Bombyx mori: one gene and its partners. The protein of the gene in region 1 purifies or fractionates together with the protein of each later gene. This does not show direct contact. Links are inferred from orthologs where the notes say so. Each region holds a gene or a part of one and is shown in the gene's direction. Other genes may lie near its edges.

Region 1 (3,662 bases):
CATGTAAAGAACAGTGCGCATTCACAGCTGAACTTGTACGGAGTGGATCTGTCCGTCCGAGTGCTCACGACCGGCTTCTGGCCGACGCAGAGCGCGACGCCGAAGTGCAACATACCGGCCGCGCCCAGGAACGCGTTCGAAGTCTTCAGAAGGTCAGTACAGGCATTCCTCTCAACTCAATAGGAAACCAAATTTTACAAAACGCGGCTGATCGCAACTCACCACGTGTGACGTCATTCAGGGCCATCGCAAGCCACGGACTAACCATGGAATAAATCTGATTCAGTTCTTCAGCATTACTCACTTTTCTGGTTGGTGTGTAAAATGTATCAATAGAAAAAAATTAAATTATAAGTATAACTTTGTCTATGATCTCACATAGAGGGAGGCAATATTACATAAACGAATCTCTAGCACAATACTATCAACAAATAGCATGAGGCGCCGGTAATGAAATGGGTGTATTTCATGTTTGGCGACGGTGTACCGTGGCAGGTTTTCGCTAGTCTATATTATACAAGGAATTGCTGTTCGTTAGTCTCGCTAAAACTCGCGAACGGCTGGACAGATTTAGCTAATTTTGGTCTTCAATTATTCGTGGAAGTCCAGAGAAGGTTTAAAAGGTGAATAAATATGAAAATGCTCGGAATTATATAAAAAAGGATGCGTGTACTTATGTACGCGCGTAAGAAGTTATACTTTATTTTTATTAAATTCATTCCTTTTTTTTTATTTAAATTTAATCAATTTGAAAAAAAATCGATTAAACAACATCCTCAAACACGCATATTGGACATCCCTATTCTTGACATCGTATAAATTCGGTAATTCTCGGTACGGTTCGGAAAGTTCACCTGCGGCTATATTCAGACTCGCCAAGTTACGTCGGTCGTATTGTAATGAGCGATTTAGTGGGCAACTTCATTCTGTTAATTTTGTGTCACGGTGCGCGCGCATCGTAAAATTTCACTCTCATCAATTTTTCATAACGCGCCTAAAGAAGTATAACTTCAAAAAGAAACAATTTTGTTTTTCCTTTGATGTGTCCCTTGTCGGACGGATTCCTTTTGTTTTTTTTTTTATGTTTTTTTTATACAAAAGTGTAGGTCTTTTATTCATCGATTGAGGCACTACGAAGTCTGCCGGGTCAGCTAGTAAATTCATAAATATATGAAGGACTTCTAGACGCAGTTACGAATGTTCGGGAGAAGCATTAACTTTCTCTGCTTGCTTTGCAGCTTCTACTTGGCGAAGCACTCCGGGCGGCAGCTGTCCCTGCAGCCGCAGCTGGGCAGCGCGGACCTGCACGCCACGTTCGGCGCCGCGCCCGCCTCCCCGCCCGCGCCCGCCGCGCCGCGCCGCCACATCATACAGGTCTCCACCTTCCAGATGTGCGTCTTGCTGCTCTTCAACCAGCGCGACCGTCTCACCTACGAGGTCAGTTTTCGACCTTCGGTTCCAGATTTTTAATACATACAATCTATACTAATATATAAATCTACAGTGGTTTTTACGGATGTTCCGTTATAACGACTGAACCATGCATCCGATTGACTTGAAATTTGGTATCTATGTAGGAAATACGTGTACTTAATGGATAGGCTAATATTTCTATGAGTGTTGGACTCCCTACACCAGTTGCGGGGGCGTTAATGATGAGTATCTTTTTGGGGGTGAGAAATAATAATGTTAATTTTAAATGCCCAGCGAAGCTGACGGGTACAGCTAGTGTTAGTATAAACATAGATATTAATATAAATAGAGGGTAACATGAGAAGGAGGGCTATTAAAAGACTGGGATGGGCTGTGTGAAAGGGTATATGCGAGAGAAGGGTGTAAGTGCAGAGGTGACGTATGATAGCCCTAATTGAAAAAAAGAGGAATGCAGCGCCGACCCCACATATTGGGTTATGGACAAAAACACTATGTTAATATATACAAACAAAAGAAAAAAATGTACTTAACCATTTTGTCTTTGCCGATTTGTATACAAATGTTGGGTCTGTTTCTAAGTTTTTATATGAACTTTAGGTTCCTAACGTCGGAACTACCTTTTGATTGAATCTCAACCTATAGACTACAAATTATATAGATTAATCATTGAAAAAAAAAATATTCTAAAGATGAACACACAGACTTCTCTAGTTTATTATAGTCAATATAATTATAATTTGCTATAGGCATATATGACTTATGCTTTTAAAAATGAAATATACTCTGCCTTTTACAAACTTCTACAACTAACCAAACTGATTGCAGGAATTACTCAATGAGACTGATATACCGGAAAAGGATTTAGTCCGCGCGCTTCAATCGTTGGCCATGGGCAAGCCGACCCAACGAATTCTCATCAAACATCCTAAAACTAAAGAAATTGAGCCCTCACATCAGTTTTACGTCAATGATGCCTTCACATCTAAGTTACATAGGTAATTTTTAATATTTAAACACGTTCCATGGATTAATAACAAAGGGCCTCTATGCAAATATATTGCAATACTTAATTAAAATTTGCGCTCGTCTCTCTGGTCCATTTGTAGATCCATTGGTACTTAAAATGTCGAACGTATTAGTAGATAATAACAAATGTACCTGGCCTTCCCGGTTCATCTCACTTATCAAGATAAACTGTTGTGTTAATCTGAGTATCTTGGTGCGAAATTTCATCAATTTGGATTTTGGATTACATTTACATTTGGATATGGATGGACACATTTTGGATTTTTTTTATTTATTGCTTAAATGGGTGGACGAGCTCACAGCCCACCTGATGTTAAGTGGTTACTGGAGCCCATAGACATCTACAACGTAGACGCGCCACCCACCTTGAGATACAAGTTCTAAAGTCTCAGTATAGTTACAACGGCTACCCCACCCTTCAAACCGAAACGCATTACTGCTTCACGGCAGAAATAAGCAGGGCGGTGGTACCTATCCGCGCGGACTCACAAGAGGCCCTACCACCAGTAATTACGCAAATTATAATTTTGCGGGTTTGATTTTTATTACACGATGTTATTCCTTCACCGTGGAAGTCAATCGTGAACATTTGTTGAGTACGTATTTCATTAGAAAAATTGGTACCCGCCTGCGGGATTCGAACACCGGTGCATCGCTTCAACACGAATGCACCGGACGTCTTATCCTTTAGGCCACGACGACTTCAAATCAATAGCCCATAGACATCTACAACGTAAATGCGCCACCCACCTTGAGATATAAGTTCTAAGGTCTCAAGTATAGTTACAACGGCTGCCCCACCCTTCAAACCGAAACGCATTACTGCTTCACGGCAAAAATAGGCAGGGTGGTGGTACCTACCCGTGCGGACTCACAAGAGGTCCTACCACCAGATAGAGTAACAAACGTCCAAACATAAAACTTTTTTAATATTAGTATAGGTTTTTTTTTCTACCTCTTCTGATAGGCTTGAGAAGCTATTTCAGCTTCACCCTAGCGTATAGGTGAGCTCTCGGGACTCAAACCGGAAGGGATGCTAACACTGGTCCTAGCAAATGCAGTGCTTCCCAGAATCTACCACCGGATAATTATTTGTTCTTGACATATTTTTTTGCAGAGTTAAGATACAAACGGTAGCCGCGAAGGGAGAGTCGGAGCCGGAACGGCGCGAGACCCGCAACAAGGTGGACGAGGACCGCAAG
Region 2 (3,762 bases), on another chromosome or scaffold:
AGAGGATTCTCGCTTAAAACCACTTATATTAAAAGTGTTCACCATGATTACACGGAAACTTTCACGATTTTCGAAAAAAAAACAAGCCATAAGCTGTATCAGTGCCATTTTAACTTCGCACTACAAACGTAAATAGACGCCATTTTCCTTTTAATCCATTCATAGCTTTTTTTCGGTGATGCCAACAATTAATCTGGCTTCCCACCAAATTCAACATGAAAACCATCAGAAATCTACGTACCTACCATTAAATTTTCCATTAAACAGAGTTCTTATTAATATAGAACAATATTTTTTTTGTTAATGAGCTTTATTAATATATGATGTTCTATTAAAAATCAATATATATCATATAATCAATACTTCTTATATAATTTATTTTAATAAATTGTCATCATCAGAAACTAAATTCACCATAACTTTGTACGTTTATGTTGAACCAATTTAATTTTTGACGTTGATGGAAATTCTAAATTGTCGCAATATTTTCTAGTTAAGTTTAAGTCACATCGTTTAAATAATATGCATTTAGATATATTATTGTCATAAAATGCTTAAAATCCTGTAAAGTGGATTGATTTTAACCTTTTCAATAATTTTCAACAACGCCCAAGCTACTAAAAAATCCACTAACCACTAAAAGCCATTTTTGATAACTAAGACGGGGGTCCAAATTCCGAGATTTTATGGAAAATCCTCTAAGCTAGCAACACTGCTTTTTGTTTGTAAAATGTGCGAGAGGGACACCACCACTTAATAATCATTCTCTTTTCAGACCGTTTTTCCTTACATCTTTTGCTATTTAAAAATAAACTTTAAGCCATAGAGATAAAGTATATTTTTAGTTTTTATGTCAAACGAAGTAAGCACTCCAGTTAAAATAGTAACTCTATGACCCAAACCAACAAAATTGACATTATTGTCGCTTGACAGTTGACAATGACATTTTAACGTTCATTCGATTTGATTGAGAGTGGATTTGAGGCTCAAGAACCGAACGCAAATTGAAATCTATTTAGTATTTATGTCGTTCAAAACAATCAAATTACGAATAAAAGTCACAATAACATATTTTTAATACCGACTGTCTGTTATCTTTAAGCGATTACCTGTAGCTTTTACTTTGAAAACTTTGGTTTTTGTTCAGTTATGTGTTCTACCTGTGCATTCGTCGTGAACTGACTGAAGATTGCAGGATTTGAACTATGGAAGGAAACGCTGATGGCGACAGAGAAAGAGCCATGTAAGTTGTTTAATATCACAATAATCTGTGAGGTCAAGGATTTACAAACGTTTACACAATAAGTCTGGATTGTGCTGTTATTTTACGTCCACGAAGCAGAACTATTTACTGATAATTATAACTATAATCATTTGTCACGTTGGACTTAACAAACAGAAAAAAAAAAATTTTTTTTTACTTTACAAATATAATGTAGGCTTCAAAAGTATTTATGAATCAGGTAAGCCAAAAAATTGTGCTATACAAAAATGTATGTCAATAAGTGTCACTACATATATCAATAAATAATTTTTGAAGATAGATTGGATATTTTTAATTTAAATAGTATTAAACCTTAAACTATTTACTTATATTTAGGTATGGTCAACTCATAACAGCATATTGTAATGTGGGTAGAGTTGCATTAATATCTTCTGTTTTGTACATTTTAAATATTCCATGTTTAAATGTACTAACATCCAAATATCTTTAAGAAAGATACTGGACCTGGAATTAAATCTGAGACTGTTACTACTATGGCTGTAGGATTTTCAGTCCATATTGAAGTCAATTCATTAAATTGGATTGAAAGTACTTTATGCTCAGTGTTATACAGTGTTATGCAAATATCAAGATATGCTTCACAATATAAATAGGTCAACAACATTAATATAATAATAATCACATATACTCAATAAATAGATACGTTTGTAAATTATTTAATTTGGATAAGAGAAATAGCGACACATATTATTGTACAGAAGGTTTAAAGCTCATGATTTGCACATTGATTAATATTTTTGATAGATACTGTATTATGCAGCATATCAATAAAGTAAAATGAATACTGTGCATAAATAAGAAAGTACTTATTTAGCAAAATAATATCATTATAATTTCAATGTTAATGAGTACATTAACAATAGGTTAAGGATAAGTAACAATAGGTTAAGGATAAGTAACAAATCAGTGTGTCTCGAACACAACAATTTATACTGATATCTCAAATTTTATAAGCTTAAACATGTTACTTCTACATAATAAACACAAGAAATAAAACCAAAGTAAATCTATACACAATAATAAAATTATTCTCCTACTTAATAACATGGAAATATTGTTTCAATTGTGCATTCGTGATGTTCTTGAGTGACATTGGTGATGTTCTACTGGTGGTAGAACCTCTTGGGAGTCCGCACGGGTAGGTACCACCACCCCGTCTATTTCTGCCGTGAAGCAGTAATGCGTTTCGGTTAGAAGGGTGGGGCAGCTGTTGTAATGATACTGAGATCTTAGAACTTATATCTCGAGGTGGGTGCTGTATTTACGTTGTAGATGTCTATGGGCTCCAGTAACCACTTAACACCAGGTGGTCTGTGAGCTCGTCCATCCATCTAAGCAATAAAAAAAAAAACATTATCACTCACCACCAGGTGGGTGGGCCTTAAGCTCTTTGTCCTCAATGTTGATAAAACAGTGCTTTCACCATTACTGTAATATTAAATTCCCATACCTTTAACATAACTACCATACAAATTTGGTGGTTGTTATTGTTATTTTATTTTGTTGCCAACAGCTTAGCAGTTGATAACGGAGCAGCAGAAGGTGATGGAGACAGAGGAAGGTATAGGTTAGTGTACTTTGCATTTTATTTGAGGCAAGGCTAAGTCTCTGTCAAAACGCTTATTGTTATTACACTACATGTTCTAATTTAAATTTGATTATAATAGCAACTGCAAACTTATTATTGTACATCTTAGAAAGCTGTAGCCTGTGGACCCTCAAGTGAGGATATGAATTAGTTGGAAGCTAAGAATAATTTGTAACAATATACTACACACAGAGTAAAATGTATAAAAATGACTTCTATTGCAGCATGATGGTACGTTGTGCATCACAGTCATCTCTAGATGAGTCATCACAGCGGCCTGCCACCACTGAAAATACTATTGGAGGAGCTCAACATGCATCAAAGTTGCTTGAGGCCTTAGCGAGGTTGAGACAAGATGCAACACTCTGTGATGTTCGGATACAGGTAAGATTATGTTTACAAAAGTAAAATCATAACATGAATTACATTTGATGTTTCTTTTGAGTATATTATTTTATGTTCATCTCATAAAAAGAAATCTTTGTGATAACAACATCGCGATTATTTGTAAGAGGATGTAGTAATTAATATTTTAGTGATGGGTGAAAGTTTTTTGCTATTACTTGTACCTGGAATACTCTATTATCCCACTCAATAGTTTATTGAGTTTTACTGCAGCGATACAACGCGATAGCTACAGGTAATAGGGATGACTGTTGAACCAGTTACCTCTAATTGACCAAACATAACATTAACATTTGTTGGACTTTTCAGGCCCAAGCGGAATGCGACAGCGAGCCATCCGAAGGCGTATGGGCTCATCGCGCGGTATTGGCGGCTTCATCGCCCTACTTCCACGCTATGTTCACACAGTTCGACGAAAGAACACAACCCACTGTCACTATACAGGTAAAATTAGCTTAACAATGCTGCACAAACCTTTCTTTAT
Region 3 (3,499 bases), on another chromosome or scaffold:
TAAAAATATAACTACAAAACTGTATACACGAGAGAGAGCAAGGATTTATGACAGATTGATAAACTGATAATTGAAATTTATAGCATAATTGTATTACGGTCAAAAATGCGGTCAAGTTGAGTCCGCCTTTAACACTGAATGGCGTATTACTGACAGGATACTATAGTTCTAAATATGAAGAGACGATTTATTTTTTGCAAGTTGTAGAATGGATTCCATACAGTTATTTTTTAATTTCCTACCCACAAAAGCCATTACATTTAAAACATTATAAACTGGAAATAAAATCGTTTTAAATTTTTCCGGTTGATTTTGGAGTCACTGAAAATACATCCACATTGAAGGTGTGTATAGCTTGGGAATTTAATGTAGGAGTTATTTATGAAATTTTATTTCTTATAATGTTATACATTTACCTGGGAGACAACATTCGGCGCAATAATCTGCGCCAAGCCAGGTCGCATCACTGTCGAACTAGCGTTGGAGTGACCCAGTATGGGGTTAGAACCCGAAGTTTTGGTTTGTCCACTTATTAAATGCGCCATTTTAACCTCATTATTAGTTACATTTTTAACTATAGTGATTTTTTGAGGCGCCAAATCTATTGGGTACATCTTGCCAGTTGTAACAGATCTATCACTTTCCATATTACCACTCATTTTGAATGGGCTGACTTTAATTAGAATCGCTTTTTAAAGGTATTTAGTACCGCATGCCACTTGATTTCATAACTTTATTTATTAATAAAGTTAAAATCTTGTTAACTAAACAAAAACTGAGAATTTGTTTGACCAATTTCTACAAATTTTGACAATAGCACAAAGTAGTAAGTAGCATATTTTTTCTTTGTTTTGTCTACTCAATTGGTACAGGCAAACGAAACAAAGTTGATAGTCTTTTGCAATGTTTGTACGATTGAATTTTTTACACCATAACTGAAAAAAATATATAAAGAGATTGTAGTTTATTAAATAATGGAAATTTATAAAAAAGTCTTAGACAGACTTTTCAATGATAACATATATACATTTCTTTCTGAAAAAAAAAAACCTTTGATAGAAGTGACACATACCTTCACAAGAACCTAACTTTCTCTCGCATGACGATACCCATTTAAGAAATAACGACAGAAATAAGCAAAGATGGTGGTGTCTACCATGCGGGTTCACAATATCCTAGCACAAGTTTTTGGATTTAATTAAAACGATGAAAGCCTTCGTGAACAAGCGTTAGTATGTTTTCTTTAGAAAAATTGGTGAGGCTTTATACGTGTACACCCAGCATTTTTAGACTTTGTAAAAAGTCGAGAAACCATGACTAGGCCTTTTTCTCTCTCTCTCCCTCTCTCTCGCTTGTGCACTTTCGTAATACTTTGCTGCTACGAAGCCACATTTATAGAAAGCTATTTGGCTTTAAGCCAGAAAAACACAAATTAACCAAATATATTAATAATTTATTAAATGTATCCATCGAGTCGCCGCCAAAAAGCTCTCAAGACAATGACAAGCATGACAAAACTACTGTCTACGATACGAACGGTGCACGGGTTGTCTTTGGTACGCGATGGCGGAGCATATTGACTGTAGTGATTTTATGGAAGAAAATATACAAAAATTTAATAATGAAAGGCGGAGTAGCAAACAATGGGTCAAACTTAACGTTGGTGGAACGTATTTTTTAACTACAAAAACAACTCTATGTAGGGATCCTAATTCATTTTTGTATCGATTAGTTCAAGAGGATAGTGACTTGATATCAGACAGGGTTTGTTCGATTTCATATTGTCTTTTTGTATGCTAATTAAGGTTCCCTTTTATGTTTGTTAATATATTCTTAACATTGTTTCAGGATGAGACTGGCGCTTATTTAATAGATAGAGACCCGACATATTTTTCACCTGTCCTCAATTATCTTCGCCACGGTAAATTGGTGATTAACAATGATATTGCTGAAGAAGGGGTTCTCGAAGAAGCAGAATTCTACAACATTACGGAACTTATAAGATTAGTTAAAGAGAGAATATGTCTCAGAGAGAGAAGACCTTTGAAAGATTCCAAGAAACATGTATACAGAGTTCTGCAGTTTCATGAAGAGGAGCTGACACAGATGGTTTCCACAATGTCAGATGGTTGGAAATTTGAACAACTAATCAATATTGGTTCACAGTATAACTATGGCAATGATGAACATGCAGAGTTCCTTTGTGTGGTTAGTCGTGAATGTGGTAGTACACTCAACAGTAATGACATTGAGTCAACAGATCGTGCAAAAGTGTTGCAGCAAAAAGGCTCACGAATGTGAGCTCTGATTTTACTTTTGTTTATTTTTTTGTGATCATAACTCTGTGTGATGTGTACATATTGTGAAAAGAATAAACAGTCTTAAATAATTATTGGTATTGTAACAAAAGGATCTTACAAGATTAAGGTTGATAATGCAATAATTTAATAGTTAGTAAGTAACTTGTGTTGTCTGAATTTTATGGTAGGAAATACTCAATTGCATAAATTTAGGAAATAGGGAGTAAAATGTATTTTTGAGTCTATAGTTTATTAGTGTATTTAGCAACAGGTTGTACCAGGCAATTAAAGTGACCCATTGGTCCTATATGTCCATACAAAAGTGTGTGCTATTCTCTAGTTTATTATGAAAGGAGAGCGAATTGTATTGTAATTGTGAGTGAATTGTGAATGAAATTCTGAGACTAATAATGTTCTTTGTACATTTTCTGTTTCATTGTTTTGTAATTACTATAAAATAACAATCTGTACCTTAACAATTCCAGATATGCTCACATACCAAACGTAATGGAAACAACATTAAAATGCATTTGTTCTATTAAAAACGTAATTAAGTAAAAAAATTGTTTGTGTTTATGCCTTTATTTCAGTGAATAAGTAAACAATTGACTGAAAACGTAATATGATTTGACACGCCTTCACATATTAGTCTTTTAAAGTTAAGTTCATAACTACACAATATATAAATCTATAACACTATGTTTTAAAAAAATAAACATTAGCACTATTTAAAACTTAATTATATAATTTATTATAAAATTTTGCATTTAAACTGCATTAAATATAAGTTAACAAGACAACCTGTTAGATATTTTATAACATTATTATTATTATCAAAATACAGAAAAGTCACACTCTTAAGGCAATCAGGGGTTTATTGTTGTGTAGTTAGCATTTTATGGTATAAATATACCATTTGTTTTATTTCTCACAGTCTGACCTAGCACCAGTCTGCCATATATGTAAAATCTTCAAACATTTTATGATCTGTGGATGACAGTGGTCTCGGTTCCTTAGGCGGTGTAAGCACAGCTGCTTCAGAGGTAAACTCACTGTCAAAATTGCTAACATCTTCCAAGTGTTTTATTGTTGGCACAAATGGTGGTTTCACTTTACGCAATAACAATTGCTCCCAATCAACATTGCGGAAGAAAGCCTGCTTCTTCACATCTTCAGCATCTCTTTCAGAAGAACCCAAT

Evidence for each region.
Region 2: the proteins of cullin-3-A (region 1) and kelch-like protein 3 purify together in Drosophila melanogaster (affinity purification with western blotting; 3 studies listed by BioGRID). This does not show direct contact. The link is inferred for Bombyx mori from reciprocal best matches to the Drosophila melanogaster genes Cul3 and kel.
Region 3: the proteins of cullin-3-A (region 1) and BTB/POZ domain-containing protein KCTD5 purify together in Drosophila melanogaster (affinity purification with western blotting; 4 studies listed by BioGRID, with this or other methods). This does not show direct contact. The link is inferred for Bombyx mori from reciprocal best matches to the Drosophila melanogaster genes Cul3 and inc.

The regions. Positions count from the first base shown.
Region 1 is NC_085110.1:9,637,742-9,641,403, forward strand, and holds part of cullin-3-A, read left to right. Parts: intron 1-27; coding exon 28-152; intron 153-1,238; coding exon 1,239-1,437; intron 1,438-2,259; coding exon 2,260-2,429; intron 2,430-3,577; coding exon 3,578-3,662.
Region 2 is NC_085109.1:522,826-526,587, reverse strand, and holds the start of kelch-like protein 3, read left to right. Parts: upstream 1-953; 5' UTR 954-1,205; coding exon 1,206-1,243; intron 1,244-2,798; coding exon 2,799-2,852; intron 2,853-3,097; coding exon 3,098-3,257; intron 3,258-3,587; coding exon 3,588-3,722; intron 3,723-3,762. UniProt on the Drosophila melanogaster protein: Component of ring canals that regulates the flow of cytoplasm between cells. May be involved in the regulation of cytoplasm flow from nurse cells to the oocyte during oogenesis. Binds actin.
Region 3 is NC_085123.1:10,763,589-10,767,087, forward strand, and holds BTB/POZ domain-containing protein KCTD5, read left to right. Parts: upstream 1-1,329; 5' UTR 1,330-1,563; coding exon 1,564-1,764; intron 1,765-1,848; coding exon 1,849-2,301; 3' UTR 2,302-2,916; downstream 2,917-3,499. Other genes in the region: mucin-5AC, read right to left, coding at 417-659; serine/threonine-protein kinase N, read right to left, coding at 3,241-3,499.